Linked DNA regions of Ovis aries. The protein of the gene in region 5 interacts with the protein of the main gene of each other region in a biochemical or structural test. Links are inferred from orthologs where the notes say so. Each region holds a gene or a part of one and is shown on either strand. Other genes may lie near its edges. The genes, in order: UBE2B, histone H2B type 1-B, UBE2A, WAC and RNF20.

What was found.
Region 1: the proteins of RNF20 (region 5) and UBE2B form a complex in vitro, tested with the Homo sapiens proteins (4 studies listed by BioGRID, with this or other methods). The link is inferred for Ovis aries from reciprocal best matches to the Homo sapiens genes RNF20 and UBE2B.
Region 2: of the proteins of RNF20 (region 5) and histone H2B type 1-B, one has a biochemical effect on the other in vitro, tested with the Homo sapiens proteins (2 studies listed by BioGRID, with this or other methods). The link is inferred for Ovis aries from reciprocal best matches to the Homo sapiens genes RNF20 and H2BC3.
Region 3: the proteins of RNF20 (region 5) and UBE2A form a complex in vitro, tested with the Homo sapiens proteins (4 studies listed by BioGRID, with this or other methods). The link is inferred for Ovis aries from reciprocal best matches to the Homo sapiens genes RNF20 and UBE2A.
Region 4: the proteins of RNF20 (region 5) and WAC form a complex in vitro, tested with the Homo sapiens proteins (2 studies listed by BioGRID). The link is inferred for Ovis aries from reciprocal best matches to the Homo sapiens genes RNF20 and WAC.

What each region holds. Positions count from the first base shown.
Region 1 is NC_056058.1:43,581,268-43,585,579, reverse strand, and holds the start of UBE2B (ubiquitin-conjugating enzyme E2 B), read right to left. Parts: upstream 2,809-4,312; 5' UTR 2,682-2,808; coding exon 2,638-2,681; exon of another isoform or gene 529-2,637; coding exon 448-528; exon of another isoform or gene 1-447. UniProt on the Homo sapiens protein: E2 ubiquitin-conjugating enzyme that accepts ubiquitin from the ubiquitin-activating enzyme E1 and transfers it to a E3 ubiquitin-protein ligase. In vitro catalyzes 'Lys-11'-, as well as 'Lys-48'- and 'Lys-63'-linked polyubiquitination.
Region 2 is NC_056073.1:30,872,108-30,875,887, reverse strand, and holds the start of histone H2B type 1-B, read right to left. Parts: upstream 2,428-3,780; 5' UTR 2,382-2,427; coding exon 2,001-2,381; 3' UTR 1-2,000. UniProt on the Homo sapiens protein: Core component of nucleosome. Nucleosomes wrap and compact DNA into chromatin, limiting DNA accessibility to the cellular machineries which require DNA as a template.
Region 3 is NC_056080.1:114,919,880-114,923,968, forward strand, and holds the start of UBE2A (ubiquitin-conjugating enzyme E2 A), read right to left. Parts: upstream 2,809-4,089; 5' UTR 2,669-2,808; coding exon 2,625-2,668; intron 2,504-2,624; coding exon 2,423-2,503; intron 2,060-2,422; coding exon 2,034-2,059; intron 1-2,033. UniProt on the Homo sapiens protein: E2 ubiquitin-conjugating enzyme that accepts ubiquitin from the ubiquitin-activating enzyme E1 and transfers it to a E3 ubiquitin-protein ligase. In vitro catalyzes 'Lys-11', as well as 'Lys-48'-linked polyubiquitination.
Region 4 is NC_056066.1:35,470,343-35,473,854, forward strand, and holds part of WAC (WW domain-containing adapter protein with coiled-coil), read right to left. Parts: intron 2,561-3,512; coding exon 2,442-2,560; intron 1,255-2,441; coding exon 1,068-1,254; intron 1-1,067.
Region 5 is NC_056055.1:21,572,853-21,576,884, forward strand, and holds the start of RNF20 (E3 ubiquitin-protein ligase BRE1A), read right to left. Parts: upstream 2,813-4,032; 5' UTR 2,694-2,812; intron 1,625-2,693; exon of another isoform or gene 1,617-1,624; 5' UTR 1,599-1,616; coding exon 1,470-1,598; intron 1-1,469. UniProt on the Homo sapiens protein: Component of the RNF20/40 E3 ubiquitin-protein ligase complex that mediates monoubiquitination of 'Lys-120' of histone H2B (H2BK120ub1).

The DNA.
Region 1 (4,312 bases), on a different chromosome or scaffold from region 5:
AATAATGCTCTTATACAAATACGCCTACATGCAATACATACTATATGTAAAATATAAGACTGCACCTTGAAAGGCTCCATACAGTTATTTCACATTAAGCTGTCAAACATTTTTTATTTAAATTCTTACTATGGTGGAAGTTATCAATATTTTTGGTTCCTACTCTTTTTACAGTTCTAGTAGAATACATACTAAGCATTTGCTTGGCACATTTTGTACAAACTTATCATTCTCCTGTAGTCTCAAATGATATTTTTATCAAATAAAACCCACTGATTATAAAATCAAATTTTATGTGACTGCCAAAACTCTATCAGAATTTTTTTTAAATCTTACAGTTTCTGTAAGATCCCTCATCCCTAGGAAAGTTTCCCTTCCTAGCTGTTATACATTCAATTTTCTTAAAAGAATCACCATACCTACCATTTGTTATTTCTTTCAACTCACCCAAATATAACTGCATTCCACTGCATGATGTTGTTTTCTGATGGTGCGCCACTGACACCCACAGGTGGGTCCTCTTGCAATCTAGAAATCCAGAATAGAAATTTTAAAAGTTGAACATTAAGGCCACTAAGAAGGCCAGTCAAACATCTTTCAACCATCTACTTTGAGAAACAAACTAAATCCATTTTCTTGTTGTGCTGAGCTGGAATAAACCATACCACTTTAAATGGCTTGGGAGTCATCCCTCTTCAAATATCACCAAGGTTAAGATATCTGTTCAAGAACTACTTTTAACAATAACAACAAAGGAAAAACCTCAAGTGTAAAAAAACACTATTTACTCAACTATCAATTTTGCTACTGTAAACATGCAAAGGCTGTGTGAGTCCTAACCAAAGCTACTTGGGCAACATGGCCACCAAAAAAACTCTCCCCCAAACAAAATATAAAGACCCCACCTCAGTGTAAACATTAAATGACTGAAAAACACTTGCATCCAGTTTAATCAGGAAACTAGTTTTGGGCAGTAGAACTACTTTATTCCATTTGCGTTAGCAGCAGCTTTTAGAGTAAGCAAAGCTCTGGCTAGGTTTTCCCTCAGTCCCTATTTTAAAAGCTCTGCACCAATACTGCATTTTACCTCTCAGATCATGCGCCCATATACAGAGCTACCTTCCAACACCTGTTACAAACTCTTGCAAAAGACGACCCTTGGAAAACTACCGAAGGTGCCAAGCACACAACTCAGAATTAAGCAGAGAACTGCAATGAGAAACCAGGGTACCAAAGGCCAGGAACCTCGAAATTTTATTATTGGAATTTCACTCATGGGAGCTAATCTGAAATCTATGGTTTCAAGCTGTAGAAACAGAGTTTTGCACAAAAAGGAGTATCTCCTTTTAAAACTGTCATCTCAGGAAAAAAAGTAAACGCGACACTAAATATACACACACACACACACACACACACACACATAAACACACCGTCATGTGATATGATTCTTGGAATTAGTCCCCCAAAATGGCTTTTAGTCAACCTTAAGCAGTACAGGCCACGACGAAAAGAAGAACCCTTGGAAGATACGGGGCGTGATATCGCCCACCAAAGATAAAGGCTAAGTTACCAATACACTCAAGGCCAAACTGGGCAAAGCCCCAAACAATGGCTTCCAAGTGCCTCATTTAAAGGTTTACAATGAAGTTGAGAGGTTACTTCCTGATAAGCCAATCCAAGTTTTTACACTGGATTTTTTCTCTCGAGCAGGGCAGATCTCCCTAGAAAAACACTTATAAATGCGCACGGGAGCGTAACGCTAAGTTTTCTTGGTTATTTTCTTCTCCGTACCTGTAAGCATTCAAAGTAAAACAACTGGGGGGAAAAAAGTCACTTCCTCCTCATCAACCCTAATATCTAACAAAACCCTATTTTACAAAAGAGGCTCAGGGAGTATCAGCTTAGCCCCAGCCTCCAGAAAGGCATTTTTCCAGACCTTGGAGGCTATAGATAGGTCTTTACACACCAGGCCACAGAGCTGAGTTCCAGAAAGCACTGGCAGCCGGGTTTGCCAGCCCGAATCGCAGCCCTCTAAGCCAGTTCTCAAGGTCCTTTCAGGCGGGCGGGGAGGGATTGGGGGGGGAAGAGTCGGGTTTCGGAGGATGGGTTAACAACCTCCGGCCCTCGCGCATCAGACCCCACCCTCACTGCAGAAAGAATGGGGAGGGAGGCGGGGGTTGGCCCCAACCCTGGCAGTCGGAAAGGCGGCAAGGCCATCGAACAAAGCTGACTGGTGTAGCTAGCGGTGGAAAGGCTTCTGCAAGGGCTCGCTCTTAGGGCAGAGAGAAGAGGCACCGCAGGGTGCAGAGGCGAAGGATGAGATTTGAAAGCCAGGGCGAGGTATCAGGCAACTGGCCGCAGTGGGCAGCAGGGAATCGTAGGACAAACCATAGCCATCTTTTTACTTTTTTGTGGGGGTAGGGTGGTGGTGAGGAAGTATCAAAATTTCTTACGTAGGACAAGTGAACAACCAAGGAGAAGAGAGTGCTAAAGCGGGGCTGGAACTGGGCTTCCATCTGTCCCCCTGGGCCCACAGCAGCCCTCTTAGGGTCAAGAGGGGAAGGTGTCCCGGATCCCCACCCTAGCCCCGGAGCTTCGGGGAGGAGTCGTCATTCAGGCGAAAATGAAGGCCCTTACCTCTTGAAATCCCGCATAAGCCTCCTCCGGGCCGGGGTCGACATGCTCCCCAGCAGCCCCGCGGTCAGTCTGAAAGAAAAGAGTCCCGCGCAGCCCCCCCACCCCCCGGCGCGGCGGCCGAATCACTGTGGGTCACCGCCGCCGCTGCCGAGGTTGCACAAACAACCCTGCAATGACGTCTCCCTCCGCCGCCTCCAGATCCCTCCGCCCTCCGCCGGTACCATGCAGTGAGGGGTGGGGGAGAAGGGAACGGGACGTAGGAGAGCTAGTTACGGGGCCCCTTCACCAGGGACCTTATCCCTTTTGTCTCCTTGAACGAATTGACCAATTACTGTTCCTTATGCTCAGACTGGAGGTTGTGATAAAGAAGTACCGGAACTGAAACAACACCAACCCGTCTCCCCCTCTTTCACTAGTTTAGGCTCAGCCGGGTGGGGAGAGAGGGACGCATCCGGGGCCAGAGATTTCAGGGAAAGGAGGTAGGATGACGTAAGATCACGTGACTGCCGGCGGCGTTGTCAACAATCCACCTCCGAGGGGGAGGGGACGAAGTATCTAGAACCACGTGTCCCTATGACGCCATTAGGACGGATCACGTGAGAGCGTCTCCTGGATCTAACTTTCAGCCGTCTTTCAGCCCGGTAGTTAAATTTATGGGCTGAGGGCTGGTAGGCACTTTTATGTTTTTTCTCCATTTTGTCCTGTGGACAGCTATTGATGAGATTGTGTCGGAAGCAGTAGTTTGTTTTGCTTCTTAAATCTTTAAAATAGAGCCCCAAATAATTTGGATTTAAAACTCCCCTCTGGTTGGCTCAATGGCTTATCAAATCTGGCATCTGAGGAAAAGTGAAGGGACCTCCGTTTTCCTCAGCTGAATGCAGAGGCCCATACAAAGCGAAATCCCCTGAAATGCTTCCTTAGGGCCACCAAATATTACTGTATGAGCATTGCAGTGTGTTTCCAGGGTTGGCGATGCTGGGCAGAGATTAAAGAACGGTGTACAGATTGTTTAATGTTTGTTTACAATCCCCACAGGATTACGGAATTTTGTTTATCCTTTATGAGTCTGCTCTTATTTGAGGCTTTGTGTCAGAGTCCTTGGATTGGTCTACAGTGGGGTACCATTGTATTTGTCAAGAAATGTGCAGGTTTGATCATAGAGAGTGTGTATAAAGAGAGTGTAGGTGACTAGTTGCCAAACCTAAAAGTTTGACTCACATGTGGGGGAGAGATCATGCAGACGTGGATAGGGGTTGTATATCTAGCCTGAGTAATTTATTTCAGATTTTCAACACTAGTAAGTTAATAGCCTGAAACGTCCCCCACCGGGGCTCAGAGATACTGGCCGTTGGAATTCTGACATTATTTCTAGTCATTGAGTTTCCTTCCTCTATCGCCTCCAATTCTGTTCTTAAAGACTTTTTTTTTGGCTGAACCCTGAGCTCTTTAAGTCCATTTGGGTGATTCCTCAACCCAAGGTGTTACAGTAAGACAGAATGAGGAATATGGCGTTGGGCATACTTTCATTGAACTAGAAAGGGTTAGTTTCCCCTACTTTTCTGGTACCTCTCTTTCTTCAATCCCTGAATTCTTTCTCTTGCTTTTATTAAATGCCTTGGTAATCAAGTTAGCCAGATCTAATACTTGATAGATACCCACCGACAAATGTAATTCT
Region 2 (3,780 bases), on a different chromosome or scaffold from region 5:
TTCTGTGTATTCTTGCCACCTCTTCTTAATATCTTCTGCTTCTGTTAGGTCCATACCATTTCTGTCCTTTATTGAGCCCATCTTTGCATGAAATGTTTCCTTAATATCTCTAATGATCTTGAAGAGCTCTCTAGTCTTTCCCATTTTATTATATTCCTCTATTTCTTTGCACTGATCCCTGAAGAAGTCTTTCTTATCTCTCCTTGCTATTCTTTGGAACTCTGTATTCAAATGGGTATATCTTTCCTTTTCTCCTTTGCTTTTCACTTCTCTTCTTTTCACAGCTATTTATAAGCCCTCCTCAGACAGCCATTTTGCTTTTTTGCATTTCTTTTTCTTTGGGATGGTCTTGCTCCTACAGTGTCATGAACCTGCATCCATAGTTCATCAGGCACTCTATCAGATCTAGTCCCTTAAATCTATTTCTCACTTCCACTGAAATAATCATTAAAGATTTGATTTAGGTCATACCTGAATGGTCTAGTGGTTTTCCCTACTTTCTTAAATTTAAGTCTGAATTTGGCAATAAGGAGTTCATAATCTGAGCCACAGTCAGCTCCTGGTCTTTTTGCTGACTGTATATAGTTCTGTAAAATATCAACTATTAGGAAGAAAGGAAGGGGCAAGGAGAAGGAAGATAGAAGCAAGCAAGCAGGCAAATAATAAGTTCTACCCCAGGAGATAATTTTGAAGAGACTGAGATTATATTACCACTAAGATCTCATCCCTCCAGAGAGCAATTCTGAAACTGCAGCTTGAGTTCAATTTTTCTTTCTTTTCCCCCCAGAGATGAGTGGAGGGGGTTACAATCTAAAAACCAAGATTTTTAACTTCTAAGACAAGCTTCTGTTTCACAGGTATGTTTTATGTATGCTGAGACAGGGAAGTCTTCTCATATAGCAGTCACCTAATTTGTGTGGGATCTGGGAAAAGTTCATTTAACTCCAAAATTTAAAAGTGGTCTTTTTGAGAAATTCTACTTCGAGTTTTTATTTCCTTATCCAAACACACTGATGTATGTCACCTAAATATGGTGCTTATAAACCAAAGAAAAGACTTTCCCCTACCTTTTTAATATGCAGTCAACCGCTGACTTTTCGTGGCTCTTCCCCTCATCCAGCCCCACTGACTCCTTTTCCACAACCAAGGCCCTTCCTATCAGGATTATTTTGGGAGTAGTATGTTCTCTTAAAAAATTTTCCCAAGAAAAATTAGCACACCTTCCTCTCCACCTGGGGCCCTCCTAGTCTGCAAATGAGGTGACACCAGATGGGGAGGTCAGAAAATTCAAACCATTTCCCCTCCTAGAATTGGGAGTGCCACACTTTCAACCTCTTCTAGTGCCATCCCAGGAAGGTAAATGACCCAGGAAACTGGAACCCAGATATCAGGAATGCAAGAAAAATGGAAACGGCTTTACATTGGCTGTTTCCATCACTATACAATTATAATGAGAAATTAGAAAATCTCATTTCAACCATGTGCAGAGTTTAATACCTTATAAAAGTGTCCGCGGTTTGCTAAAGGAACAACAGGTGATTTTGCTTAGTTTCCCCAATAACAGGGAGAAAACCCCACTGATTTGCCTTCCCTGCAACCTGCCCTGAAAAGACAACCTGCATAAAGATGCCTTGAGGATCGGGACCCTGAAATCCCCCCAACCACTTCCTTACCCGGAAGGAAAATTCTAATCACCATCAAAAATTTTAAGAGGCCTCGTGAAGAGTGAGCATTTCCAAGCATCTGGATGCTTAGTCCATGGGAAACGGGAAGATGTGTCTTTCGGGGAACGTCTCTTAAATGCCAAGAGACTTTTCAAGTAGCTAGAGGTTCTGGCTCCAAAATTGCTTCAACTATTAACCCCACTAGAGTAGATGTAGATGCTTAAATCAATAGGACAGAATTGCATTTACCGCGCGAGAAAACGGCAGTTACAGTCTTTCTTCGACAAAGTGGGTGGCTCTGAAAAGAGCCTTTGGATTAACTGCCTATGCAGGCACTCATTTGGAGCTGGTGTATTTAGTGACGGCCTTGGTACCCTCAGACACAGCATGCTTGGCCAGCTCCCCGGGCAGCAGCAGGCGCACGGCCGTCTGGATCTCCCTGGATGTGATGGTCGAGCGCTTGTTGTAATGCGCCAGGCGTGACGCCTCGCCCGCGATGCGCTCGAAAATGTCGTTCACAAAGGAGTTCATGATACCCATGGCCTTAGATGAGATACCAGTATCTGGATGGACCTGCTTCAGAACCTTGTACACATAAATAGAGTAGCTCTCTTTACGACTGCGCTTGCGTTTTTTGCCATCTTTTTTCTGTGCTTTAGTGATGGCTTTCTTAGAGCCTTTTTTAGGAGCGGGAGCAGATTTAGACGGCTCAGGCATTGTTTTGCCCTAGAAACGTTAGATGATAGCCTCCGCGACTAAGATTACCAGTATGAGTTCAAAAACCAGATATTTATAGCGCTTCAATGTAAATGAGGAATGAAAAATTCTCACTTTTGATTGGGTAAGATCAGTACAGGTTCACTAAGGTCTGGAGGGAGGGGTTTATGCAAATAAGGGATACACATATTCTCTTTCTATTGGATAGAAAAACCTTCGTCCTTCTGACCAATAGGAGACCTAAGTGGCGCATCCCTCTACTGTCTATTAAAAAAATATTTTTATCCCCCCTTGGTCGTCCAGGGTTTTTTTTTTCCTGCTCACAAGTTTTGCTGTTGAGTTTTACAAAGTAACTATGTCTGGACGTGGTAAACAAGGAGGCAAAACTCGAGCTAAAGCCAAAACTCGGTCTTCCCGGGCTGGTTTACAATTTCTAGTGGGGCGAGTGCACCGCCTGCTCCGCAAGGGCAGCTATACCGAGCGGGTTGGAGCCGGCGCTCCGGTGTACTTGGCGGCGGTGCTGGAGTACCTGACGCCTGATATTCTGGAGCTGGCGGCAACGCGGCCCGGGACAAAAAGAAGACCCGCATCATCCCGCGTCACCTGCAGTTGGCTAACCGCAACGACGAGGAGCTGAACAAGCTGCTGGGCAAAGTCACCATCGCTCAGGGCGGCGTCCTGCCCAACATCCAGGCGGTGCCGCTGCCCAAGAAGACGGAGAGTCACCACAAGGCGAAGGGGAAGTAAAGCCTAGACAAAAGAAGAAACTTTTTAATAAACTATTCAAAGACTTTTCACAGCCATCCACATTTTTATTAAAAAAAAAAAAAAAAAGCTGGTAGCCAGGTTATGCTGCGTAGGTGGTTAATTGTAAAAAGACAAATGACATTAAAACAAAGACTCTGGAAATGTTCTCACAAGCATTATTTTACTGCATAGCTGGCGAAACCTTTGTAATCCACAAGGGCCTTTATAAAGAGAAGGGGAGACTAGAGCGGTACTTAGTCTTGAGGATAACAAAAAGCAATTACTCTTGCCAAGATTATTTTTCTCTTGCCTTTGCTTTCAAAATTTTAAAACAATCCCCCCGCCCCCCCATGGAAGTTTATCAGGATCCAGTGTATATATGTCATCAATTCCACCTTTGCATGCATGTGATTTTTTAAAATCATCCACCCAGGGACCCTGGCATGTAGTTTTACAGAAGATAAACTCAGAATTAGGGGAGATCTGATGACCAAAGTTAGAAAGTGGTAGTCCTGGTAGTTCGAGATTTACTTAAAGCTGACCCAACTGTGGGGGAGAAAGATCAATTGTATTCAATTTAGGATTGGAGCAGAAATACTGACAATCTTGAGAACGTGTCAAGAATTAAGAATATCAGGTCCCACCCGTATAC
Region 3 (4,089 bases), on a different chromosome or scaffold from region 5:
ATGCCACTTGTTCCTAATCGGGCCTTTCCAGTAAATTTCCTAGCTATAAATAACAAGTATTTTTAAATGGTCAAAAAAATTCTTGTAACCTTGGTTAGTGTTTGAGACACCTGAGGAAGCATTCATGGATAGCAGACTGCTCAAAAGAATGAATCAGAAAAGGGTACTGTCATTCAGCCTGAGTAATTCCTTTCAGTAATGTCAGGGTGGAGAGACACATCATCAAAAATAGAACCAGTAATGTCAAGGGGGAAGGTCCAGGTAGATAATGGATTCCATAAGTACTTCTCCAATTCATACCACTTAAAGCGAGAGAAGCACCCTTGAAATATTTAAGTTGCCAACCCCTAGCAAAGCGATGTACTATTAATAAAGTTGCGCCCAGCATAAAGCAGTCCGAATAAAAATCAGGAGGAAAAAAGAAGCCAATGAAAATAATTTGCTTTGCTGGAGCTAAAGCAAATACACAGCTAATCTGCACATAAAGCTTAAGTATGAAGAACCAGCAACCGATCTAATGGAGGAAAACTAAGCCTAGCTAGCTTCTGCTATGGATCAGAATCAGTTCAAATGATTTACCTCACACACCAAAGTAGTATGCCTTCAGGATCATACTCCCTTGCTGTCATTTCTTTTTATCAAAGCACTGAAGAACAGTGATATTTACCCAGGAGGTGAAGGCAGAGAAGAAACAAACCACCTAGATTACTGTTTACAATCTGCTAGGGAAATCTGAGTGTTTGAGACGAATCCTAGAATTGGTTTGTATTCATTTACCTCACAACATGCTGTGGTTGGTAACATCCAAAGGCAATCTGACTTGGCAACTTTGCTTGTACTGAGTAGTTTGTAGAAATGCTTTTGTTGCCACCTTCAAATGGAGGTGTATGCATATGTGTGTGCATATGTGTGCAGATTTCTCTCAAAGGCTATATGACCAAAGGAATATAAGGCATTGAGAAGAAAATAAATAACAGAAAGACCCTTTTCTGTTTAAAAATACCTCAAATATTAAAGATGTCAATCAGTAGTTCAAATACTTTTAATCATCTTTTTAAATGCATTAAGCTTTCAAAAGCAATTAACTATACACACACATACACACACATTTGAGTGCACATAAAACTATATCTATGTCAATTTCCTGGTTGTGCACAGTCATTCCAGATGTTACCAGGGGAGAGGGGGGAACAGGTGAAGGGTACACAAGGTCTCTCTGTATTATTATTTATTACAATTCCACACAAATCTATAATTATATCAAAACAAGAAGCTTTAAAAAGTCCTTAAAAAGCAACTTAGTGTGTTTTTAAAAGTCAAACCTAAACCTAAAAATCATGTACCTGTAAGTACGTGTAGTATCTTGAAGTAGGTTGGACACTGGTAAGAGAGTACTTTAAGGCTCCCCTCAATTGTGAAACTGCCTTGAGATTACTGATCATAAAGTCTTGATAAAAGCACACGCTGAAAACTCATTTAAAAATAAGAAACAAGGAACTGGCTATTGAAGGTGCCATTAAAGACCACTTTAAAGCAGTGAGGCTGAAAAGCACTCAATGTCAGATTATAGAAACCAGACAGTTGTGTGCAAGGGATTCCTGCATCCATTCAACATCCAACACCACACATGAGGCACCTGCTGAACACAGTTCCCACCCTTGTGACAGAATTCTGAACCAGACAGTCCCTGGGGTCTCCGAGTTGATCAGCAAGTGGTTGGGTTGATCCTGATGGAGGGGGTGGTGGTCCTGAATTTAGCAAGATCACAACCCAAACCTCACAAACCCTTAACATCAGTGGTATTATGCTCCTTTTAAAAAGTGACTGCCTTACTCAGATTTTTTTAAGCAGCAGTTCTAGTCAAGCGGACAATAGCCAGAACAACCTGCCACAGACTGGACTCCTCTCAAGTCTTTAGCAGGCAAAGGCTAGGGAGAAGCGGGTTATTAAGTAGGAGGCACTTCCAGGCTGACTGGGAAACACTTTCCCCAGAAGATCAGGGTCCCAAAAGGTGGGTAAAGAAACTCTCTTACCATCCTCAAACGGGGTCCCTTCAGGCCTACAACACAGAGAGAAACAAGTCAGTTCCCACATCAGGGGCTCCTCTCTCCCCGGTTCATCTGTTCGCCCCACCTCTGGTAAACCACCGCTTCCCGGGTTGCAAAGCCACGACCAATAGAGCTTTGGGGCTCAGAAACCCCAGGCAGGCCGAAGCGCCACCGCTCCCCGCCCCGCCCCCCTCCGAACCCCAAACGGTTCCCCTGGCAGCGCGAACCGAGCTAATCGAGGCACAGGCTCCGGGGAGGCGCCTAGGCCCAACGAGCCCCAAACCTTCTCTCTCAGTCCCCGCCTCCGCACCGGGTGGGTCCCAGAGGGCACACGGGTCCCCCGGCCCTCACCACCATCCGGAACGCAGACTCACCCAAAAATGACCGCGTTCCAAACCATGATGTTGTTCTCGGACGGAGCCCCGCTGACTCCGGCAGGAGGATCCTCCTGTAACCTACAGGGAAACACCACAGGAACCTCCCGCTATCCTGAACCCGCCGCCCGCCCGGCCCGCTGCCGGCCCCGCCCTGTACCCCGGCGGCAGCCCCCGGCCCCTAGAGTCCCGGGCGGGTTACCTCTTGAAGTCCCTCATGAGACGCCGCCGAGCCGGGGTGGACATGTCTCTAGCGGGGTCAGGGGTGGGGCATACACCGAGCTCTCGGGTCCCCGCGGGTGGTGAGGAGGCTGAGGAAGCCGGAGGAACCAACGGAGAACCGCCTAGAGGAACCGCACTGCCTCTCCTAAGTCGAGGGTCGATCTGGCGCCGGCTTAGCACCACCCCAGAGTAGACCGGGGCTGAACCAACCTGGAAGGAAACGACGGGGGTGGAACGCCAAACGCCGGACAGACCGTACCAAGACGGGACAGGGGTGGGGGGGGGGAGGAAAGTTGCTTAGGTCATTAAACCCCTGAGGGACGGGGGGAGCGAGGGTGAGAAGCAAGCTGCGGGCCTCATGTAATTGCCGGGAACTCAATAGGATCGGGTGGTGGAATCGGTCCACCTTCACTTGCCAATTCTAAGACGAACCGTGGGAAGCTTTTTTTCTACTTTTCCTTTTTCTTCTTCTTCTTTTTTTTTTTTTTTTTTGAGATCAGATCACTTATTAAAGTGCGCACAGTGGCTGAGGGGGAGAAGGATGAAGTCTCAATCTCAATGAGGACAGAGTGGATGAAGGCGAAACCAGTTCTCCTAAAGCCAGAAATCTAGGGGGTACACCTCCTACGGACACGGGAAACTGGGGAGGAAGCTGTGTGACTGGTCAAAATCACTGAACATCCAAAGAGTAAATCGACCTCGATGGTGAGGTCGAGGGTCCCTTCTCTATGGGATGAATGTGCGGGCCCCAACATTTAGGCCGATGATCACCCCCAAAGCAGAATGAAATGGTGATGTGTGTCCTGGGGGAGGGAATGAGAGCTGGAGGCAAGCAGAATGAGGCTTTAGCTTTGGGCACTCACAATTTGGCTCTGGAACCACATTTCCCCTTGACAGTTCAACAAGCCAAGTGGCTACTATATGTTCAGAAGAGTCCAAGGGTATGAGAATATCCGATTGCAGAGAATTGGAAGAGCAGTGAGTCTGAAGTAAAAGGAACGGTAAGATGCACGTGAAAAAGCTGTAGGTTGCAGGGAAGAGTCACAGTTAGTATGTGGACCTGCAAAAGCAATAACAGTTTTAAAGAATGTTTTTTAAAAAGGTCAACTCCAAATAACATAGAAGGTAGGCAAAATACTCATTTAAGAATTTTTTGGAAATATGAGAAAAGTAGGTCTAGGTTCACTCAGGGAGAGTTTTGAATGCCAAGCTGATGGCTTCCTTGGAAGTTGGTTGAGCAGAAAGGCAACATGATCAGAGCTGTACTCACTGGAGACGGGTCCCAGGACAGCAATTAGAAGACTCTTGAAGTATTCCAGGTGAGAGGTAGTGAACCAGGCAATGACAATAAAAACAGACAGGACTTGCCAACAGAACGTGGGGACAAGAGAGAGGAAGGAGTCTACGGAGGCTCAAGTTCTGGGGACTTCCCTGGTGGTTCATGG
Region 4 (3,512 bases), on a different chromosome or scaffold from region 5:
AACTTTATATCAAGATTATAAAATAAATCTTAATGCTCATGGATCGGGGGGGAGGGAATGATTTTTTTTTTTTTTTTAACCATCTCTAATGGTGAAGTGTATTCCTTTAAGATTTCACCCCTCACGTTTCTTGAGAAGATACTATTTTCAGTCTCATGGTAGTACAGCAGTAAGATAGAAGGACTCATGATTTGTGGTTAATAAAAAATGCTGGATCAGCCAAAGTGAAGTCCAGGTATAACACTGATAAAAGGGCCTTACTGTATCCCCATATCAAGAGATACACAATGCATGACCATGAGCTTACAGAACATTTCAGATGGTTAGTCATTTGATAAAATGGAGCAGCCAGTGACAATCACTGGAATGTGCTAGGGTTGGTCCTTCATCCCAAAGTACAAGTGTTTTCTAAGTTTCAGTAGTTAGTTGAACCTTGAACAACAGAGGTTTACACTGTGCAGGCAGGCCCACTTACACATGGATTTTTCCCAATAATCAACACCCCTGTCCTACACAATCCATGGTTGGTTGATCTGGGGATGAGGGACTGTGGATATGGAGGGCTGACTATAAACCATACTTGGATTTTTGACTGTGTGGAGAGTCAGCCCCTCACCCAAGTTGTTCAAGGGTCAACTGTACTAAAAGGATCAGAGTAGCTGGCTGAGTAGGAAAAGCATGCTGGCTTTGAGTCATATCTAGTAACTGAGTGACCTTGGTACAGATCATTTGGTCTTAAGGGCCTCATTAGTAAAACGAAAAACTCATGATCAGTAGTTTTAGAAAATGGAAAAAATAAACATAAAGCACTTAGCACAGAGCTAAACGCTGAGCACTTGATAATGGGAGCTATAATGATAATTAAAATATGTGAAAAACAGAAAGTTACCTCACAAATATCCTGTAAGTACGTATAAAATATTTACAAAGTGACCACAGACAATCTAATGAGAAATTAGTTGTTTTAAAGACTGCTCGAATCCACAGGGTCCGGGTCAGATTTTCTCAAAGTGGAACTGAGCTGCTAGCAAACCACAGGCAGAACACCTGCTGTGACTGTGACGTACCTGCTTCTCCGCATGATCTGCAGGCCATCCTTGAACGTGCTTGATGAGATTTTCATTGAAGTGTGCTGCAAGCGTCGGTGTTAGTGAACACGGGGGTCGGGCAGAGGAGTTCTGTGGCACAACTGCTGTGCTCGGTGCATTACTACTAGGCGTGTGATTCGGACCAGGTGACGGACTCCTCTGGCTGCTACGAGAGAAGACGACCGAGCATGGAGCATGGTTAAGAGTGGCTTCCAGGTTTCCTAAACACTGCCTGTCAATACCTTTCATTAACTTAAAGATACCCAAATTCCTAAGAATAACATTATTTTAATATTAAGTAAGTATAATTTCAAATCCAAAGAATATTTACATCATATTCCTAATACACGTCTGGAGGTTAAAAGAGCCCTTTAAACAGTAATGTCAGGGCTGAATTTAAAATATCTGTACTCACCCAAACTTGACAGTGGAACCTGTGACTTTGTATACTACAAACACTAATAAGGATGTGACTAAGCAATGGTCACATTAGAACAGTTGTAGATATGAGGCACATCAATATATCTTAAATACATGAAGACATGGAGGGTGAAAAGGTCAGAGGTTTTGACTGTTTAAAATCAGAGTAAAGCGTGTAATCAGAGGGTGAAATAATGCGAAGCAAAACAGACACTGTAACTGCCTCACAATGAATGAGTTCAGTGGCAAATAAGACCAAAAATGGGGAACACTCTGAGGTTGCATATCTTCTTTTCACCTGTATGGTTTGGGCCAGGATTTGGGGATGTGGTGATGAGAATCAAGAATGTAATACCCCAAAGCTGACTTTCCAGCTGCCTCACACCAGACTTTGCTCTGAATGAATTTCACTTATTTCCAAAAATGAAGTCTCCCAAAAGATGAAGAGTTTTCATCACTGAGTATATTTAAAATTATACTGCAGCCACTAAAGACTAAAGGTTCAGAGTTGAGGCTATCAGGAAGGCCTTACACACATCAGTTGGAAAATACTGACCCAAGTTTCAGATGTGAGGTTTTTGGCTTTATCAATAAACTCAAATCCAAAACTGCTATTGGGAAGTTATCACTTCCAATGAATGAAGTAGTATAAAATCATGTGCCTCTACAAGTGAAGTGTCACATATAGTTACTCCCATTGTATTCCATCAAGCAAAATTCTAAACAGAGAGCCTCTTCCTCAAAATAACTCAGGATTCACTACTAAAGACAATCTAATAAGATCTGCCTTTGTAAATTTTATAATACACAAAACTATGTTAGGCTATCCATGGATTCTTCCAAGATCAAGGTCTACTATGCATATATAATATCCAAATAATATGGTAATAGAAGGAAAAAACAGTGTTTTCTCAACACACAAAATCAACTTACTTTGAGCGCTGAAGGCTTCGAGGAGAGACAGGTTCATGACCTTGCTGCTTGTCAGCAGTTACAGGCTGCTGTGTGGACGACTGTGAAACTGGTCCTTGCTTAACTACTGGAGTACTAACCTGGAATGTCAAAATCTGATGAGACAGGCTTCTACCACATAAACAAACAGCAGTGGAAACTAGATAAGAGCAAAAGTTCTGCCAATGAAAACTTCCAATTATTTATGTTCAGTGATTTTTTTTAAAGGTAAGAATTGTCTTAAATGTTCACAATAAGATCAGTATTAGCGATACAGCCACACTTAATTATGTAAACTATTGTCATTTAGGGCCCAAATCTTCAGATCCCTCCAAGTCTAGTTAGTAATCTTGAACAATATAAAATATGGAGATTTAAAGAAGAGGAATTAAGTGAGTTTCCAAAGGTTACGTAGTTAGGGCCAAACAGTTACTTAAGCCAACCAGCTTAAGAAACTAGTTCTCCTGATTTCAAGCTCCATTTTCTTTCCAGTATACTGTAACATCTTTTCTGATTTACTATTACTTCTGTATCAATAAATATATTACACCACATCATACAAATACAGCTGCTTAAAATTCAATCACAAATGAAGAGAATGTATAGACTTGTCTATCAGAGAATGAGAAATGGCCCATATGCAATTTAACTGGAGTGGGCTTCAAAGAGATGGCACCCTACAGTGGCAGACCAAGAGGTCCATGGTTACCACTGTGGACACATATTTTCATACACACATGTGACAGAAAACAAGCAGTTTTCAATGTAAGTCCAAAATATATACAAAAGCATGTTCTTTTATAAAGAACATTTTAATAAGATATATATAAGATCAAATGCCCACTTACTTTTAAAGACAATCTGAAAGGTTTATAATGCAAAAAACTACAAGCCATCTGCTTACAGGATTTGAAGTGACAATGTTACGATCAACTGTAAACCCAACACAACCACTATGCTGTGTACACCCATCTTTCACTGTGCTCTTAGAATACCACAGGGTAAGTTATAAGCTCTAAGAATAGGTCTCTTGTGCGAAAACTCACATTTTAA
Region 5 (4,032 bases):
ACAGCTCTGGTGGACAGCTCCAGTCACACCACCAGTGTTCCCACTTGAAGCATACCATGCAGTCTCAAAGTTTTTTGTTCCACAATCTCAGCTGGTTTACCACAGAAACCTTGAAGTGCAGAAGAGAAGTTATTGCCTTCAAGGGCAACTGTCAACCAGCTGGGGCAGGATCAGTGGATACCTGCCCCAGCTCCCCACCCTTAGAGAGGAAGAATAGGAGGGAGGAGAAAGACAAGGAATGAGGGAACAATTTTGTTAACTGAACTCCTTCTTATAAACTTAGCTCCCTTACAATCTTTTTTCAAAACCTAAGTCAGAGCATGTTACTTCCCTGCTTAAAACCTTCCAGTGGCTCCTTACTGCCTTCTGGATAAAGTCCAAACTGGGATGCGTGTTTTGTGCATCCCTTCACATATGTAGTTATCTCTGGGAAGAGCCCATTTTTCACTCTATCATAACAGTCTGTTCTTTTCTCAGTGCCAACCTACAAACTGAAGTCCAGGAGCTGTCCTTAGTATAAAGCACAGTGTCTGGCAAATAACAGATGCTCAACAAATATTTATGTTTATTGAATGAAAAAATGTCCCTCGGATGCATGATGTGAGACAGTGCCAGGACAAAATCACCTGCTGGCAACAGGAGGCTGATGAATCCCAGACAGCAAACCCAGAAACAATGCTTCATCAATAATTTACTCTTGAATGTTCCTATTACTCTCTGATCCTCAATTTCAAAAAGTAGATATGGTTTTGTAGGCTATACAAATGTAAAGCATTTTTACACCATATCCCTATGGTTAAGTTCCAAAATACAGACTCCTTACCTATTACAGTGAGTTTATTATGGTGTCTAATGGACATATAACATTGCTATAAGTTTTTGGTGTATAATTGTCTAAAAAAATTGACAACTCCATAACAATAAGGAAGATATCTATTTTACTCACCATTATAGACACAATATCTGGCCCAATAAAAACTATTAATAGAGCACATATACTGAGTACTTACCATGTTAAAAAGTAACGTTCCTTAACAGGAACCCTTTCATTTCCTCCTCTCAAAACCCCAATGAGGTAGATACTATGATTACATTTTACAGACAAGGAAATAAGAAGGCACTCTCTCAATGATTGATTTTGCTACACTGCCTCTTAGTACCTGGCCCCTTAGTTCCCAATGAATGAAAAATCAGTGTATAGCTTCCCACTGCTAAATAACTACAATCAATGCTGAATCTGGCACCAGACTCTTCAAAGAATATGAATATACTTTTAAAAACAAAGATCAAGTGTCATTATATTTCTTTTTCAGAAATGAGCAACACATCATTTCATCTACTTTTGGCTGTTTTATCTCCCTCTTCTTTTCAAATCAACTTCCCTTACTCCAAAAGGCTTCCATAATTATTACTTCTAGGTTGCAACTGACAGAAGAAAAGCACACTCTCATAGCATTATTTCCACATACCGTTGAAGAGACACCCCCAAGTTTAATTGTTTCCACTGTGGTCCCTGAATCTTCAACAGCTGTCTTCTTCTCTGGAGGCACAGATGTGCCAGGCTCTCCAGCTGCTCTTTTATTTCCAATTCCTGACATCGTGGCACAAGATGATAACTGTTTTCCTGGAGAGAAAAAAAATCTTAGGTAAGATAGGCAAGGAGAGCAACTAGAGTCGATCTATGATGTAAAAACTAGCAACTTTTCCTGTCAATCCTTTAACCCGGGTCCATTAATTTCACACTTAGCAACCTGATCCTCAGGTTCCTCTTGGAAAGAGAAAAGTAAATTGTGAAGTAAGAGTCGCAGCTGAATTTACAGAACTACAAAGTTCTAAATAGGATGCTACTAAAATACAAGATAACAGGCAAAGGATGAAGAAACTTAGAAAATTTTCAGGCATCTCATTTCCTGAAATGCCAACATCTGAAAGTATAGTTTAATTTAGAAATACAGAAAATCAGTTAATTATACAGTGTTGGGAGAATCAGAGAGCTGGAAGAGACCTGGGAGATGTCTACTTTATTAACACTGAACAAGCCATATATCATCTCTGAGCCTCAATTTCCTAAAGCAGAAATAACAACAGTATATGCTTCCTATGCTCCTCATAAGGAATGAATAAGTACAGAAAGACTTTAGCATAAGGCCGAACACGAAGCATGCACTCAGCAATGCTAACTCTCCTTTTTATATTTGCAGTTTCCCTATTTCTAAACGCTCTCCCCACGAATTTGTGTCACCCTAGAGAAGCTAGATCTGCGTGTGAATCCCAGTACTAACTCTTAGAGAGCCGTGCTGCCTTGGAAAGGAATTTTTGATATGCACAATGCAAGTGACCACATACTGTCTCTGCCCTACTCGCCTCCCAAGGTTTCGGAGCTCAAAAGAAGCGGAATAGATGCTAAAGCACTTTGCTACTGAAGGTATCAGCCCTGCCATCACCGAGACGACACACAACTCCGCTTCCAACTGAAGCTCCAGGAGAAGGATATCGGTGGCAGCAACCTGAGTGGGACCTCGCCTGGAGAGAGAGGAGGAGGACAATGGCCTCAATCCGACTCCAGAGGGGCCAAGGACCCCAGCCTTCGGAGAGGCCAATTACAGGCCCGGGAGAGGGAGGCCTTGGAGCGGAAGAGGGTGGGGATACCCGTTGCCCGCTGAGTCCCGTCCCGCCCTTGGCCGAGATCTAACCTGAGTTCTTCCAACTTGCGCCGCCGGGGAGTGGAACGCGGGGCAGTTATTCACCAAGGTCCGCGTAGCCCTCCCACCTCTCACCCCTAACCCACAAGTGAAGATCCAGCGAAGCTTCCGGGAGGCGGGGCCAAGGGGAGGAAGAAGGGAAAGAAAGGAGGAAGTAGCTTCAATCTGGCAGCGAGAAGGACAAGACTCAACCGGGCGGAAGTGACACGCATCGAGGGCGCCCCGCTTCCGGAAGTAAGTGCGGTCTAGCAGCTCTTGGGCACCCGGCGGCCGCTTTGTAGAGGCCTCGCTGACGTCAGAGGAAACGTCCCAGATTTTTTTCCCGTTTGTTAACCATTGCTACTGCGACCTGTTTTTCTTTCTTTCTTTTTTTTTTTTACTGTGAATAGTGAAAATTGCTCAGTCGTGTTCGACCCTTTGTGACCCCATGAACTATACAGTCCATGGAATTCTCCAGGCCAAAATACTGGAGTGGATAGCCGTTCCCTTCTCCAGGACATCGAACCAGAGTCTCCCGCACTGCAGGCGGATTCTTTACCAGCTGAGCCACCAGGGAAGCCCTTAAGCGTCCCCCCTCCTTTTTTTTTTAACTGAGTACCTTTTGTTTACAGTGCCTATTGTTCTGTTACCTATTATTGGTTCTGCTCAGACTGGCGATTGGCTAATGGCGCCGTCAATCTCCAGGGGAAAGGACTAAGTTTCAGACACCTCGGAAAAATTACTGTGAGCCCCTTTTTGCTGAAATGAAAAGTTCTGGAGAAAACCCAAGAGATTCGGTGAGTTTAGAAGGTTGTGGCTATTTCAGGGAAATGTATGACAGCTCTGTCTACACATTAAAATCACTTGGGGAGTTTTGGTCCCTCTTGTGTAGGGCCTGGGCATCCACATTTTATAAAAAAAAAAAAATTTTCCCAACCCTCCCCCACCCCCACTGGATTCTAATGTGCAAACGGGATGGACAGTTACTATCTTTGTGTATCTTTTCAACAAGAAATTGACCAGGGAATAGATAAACATAAATCAATAAGTTGATTCTGATCTTAACACTCGTCTATTTTAAGCTAATTAAGCATTGATTTTTTAGTTAATAACAAACTGCTATTTTCCACTCAATTAAACAATGTGTTTTAATGATAGGAAGGTAATCAAACTAATTTATTGATGAAAAGCTGTATGCCTCACAGAGGTATAAAAAACTACCCAGTAAAGTCAGAATGTAAACAGTGGGAAACAAGCGTTCATGTTTCCTGATACTAGAACACTTTGCCCAGCGGTAAAGAGGCAACTGGCTCCAAATGAACTCTTTGGGTGAAGCAGAAGCCTGAGAACC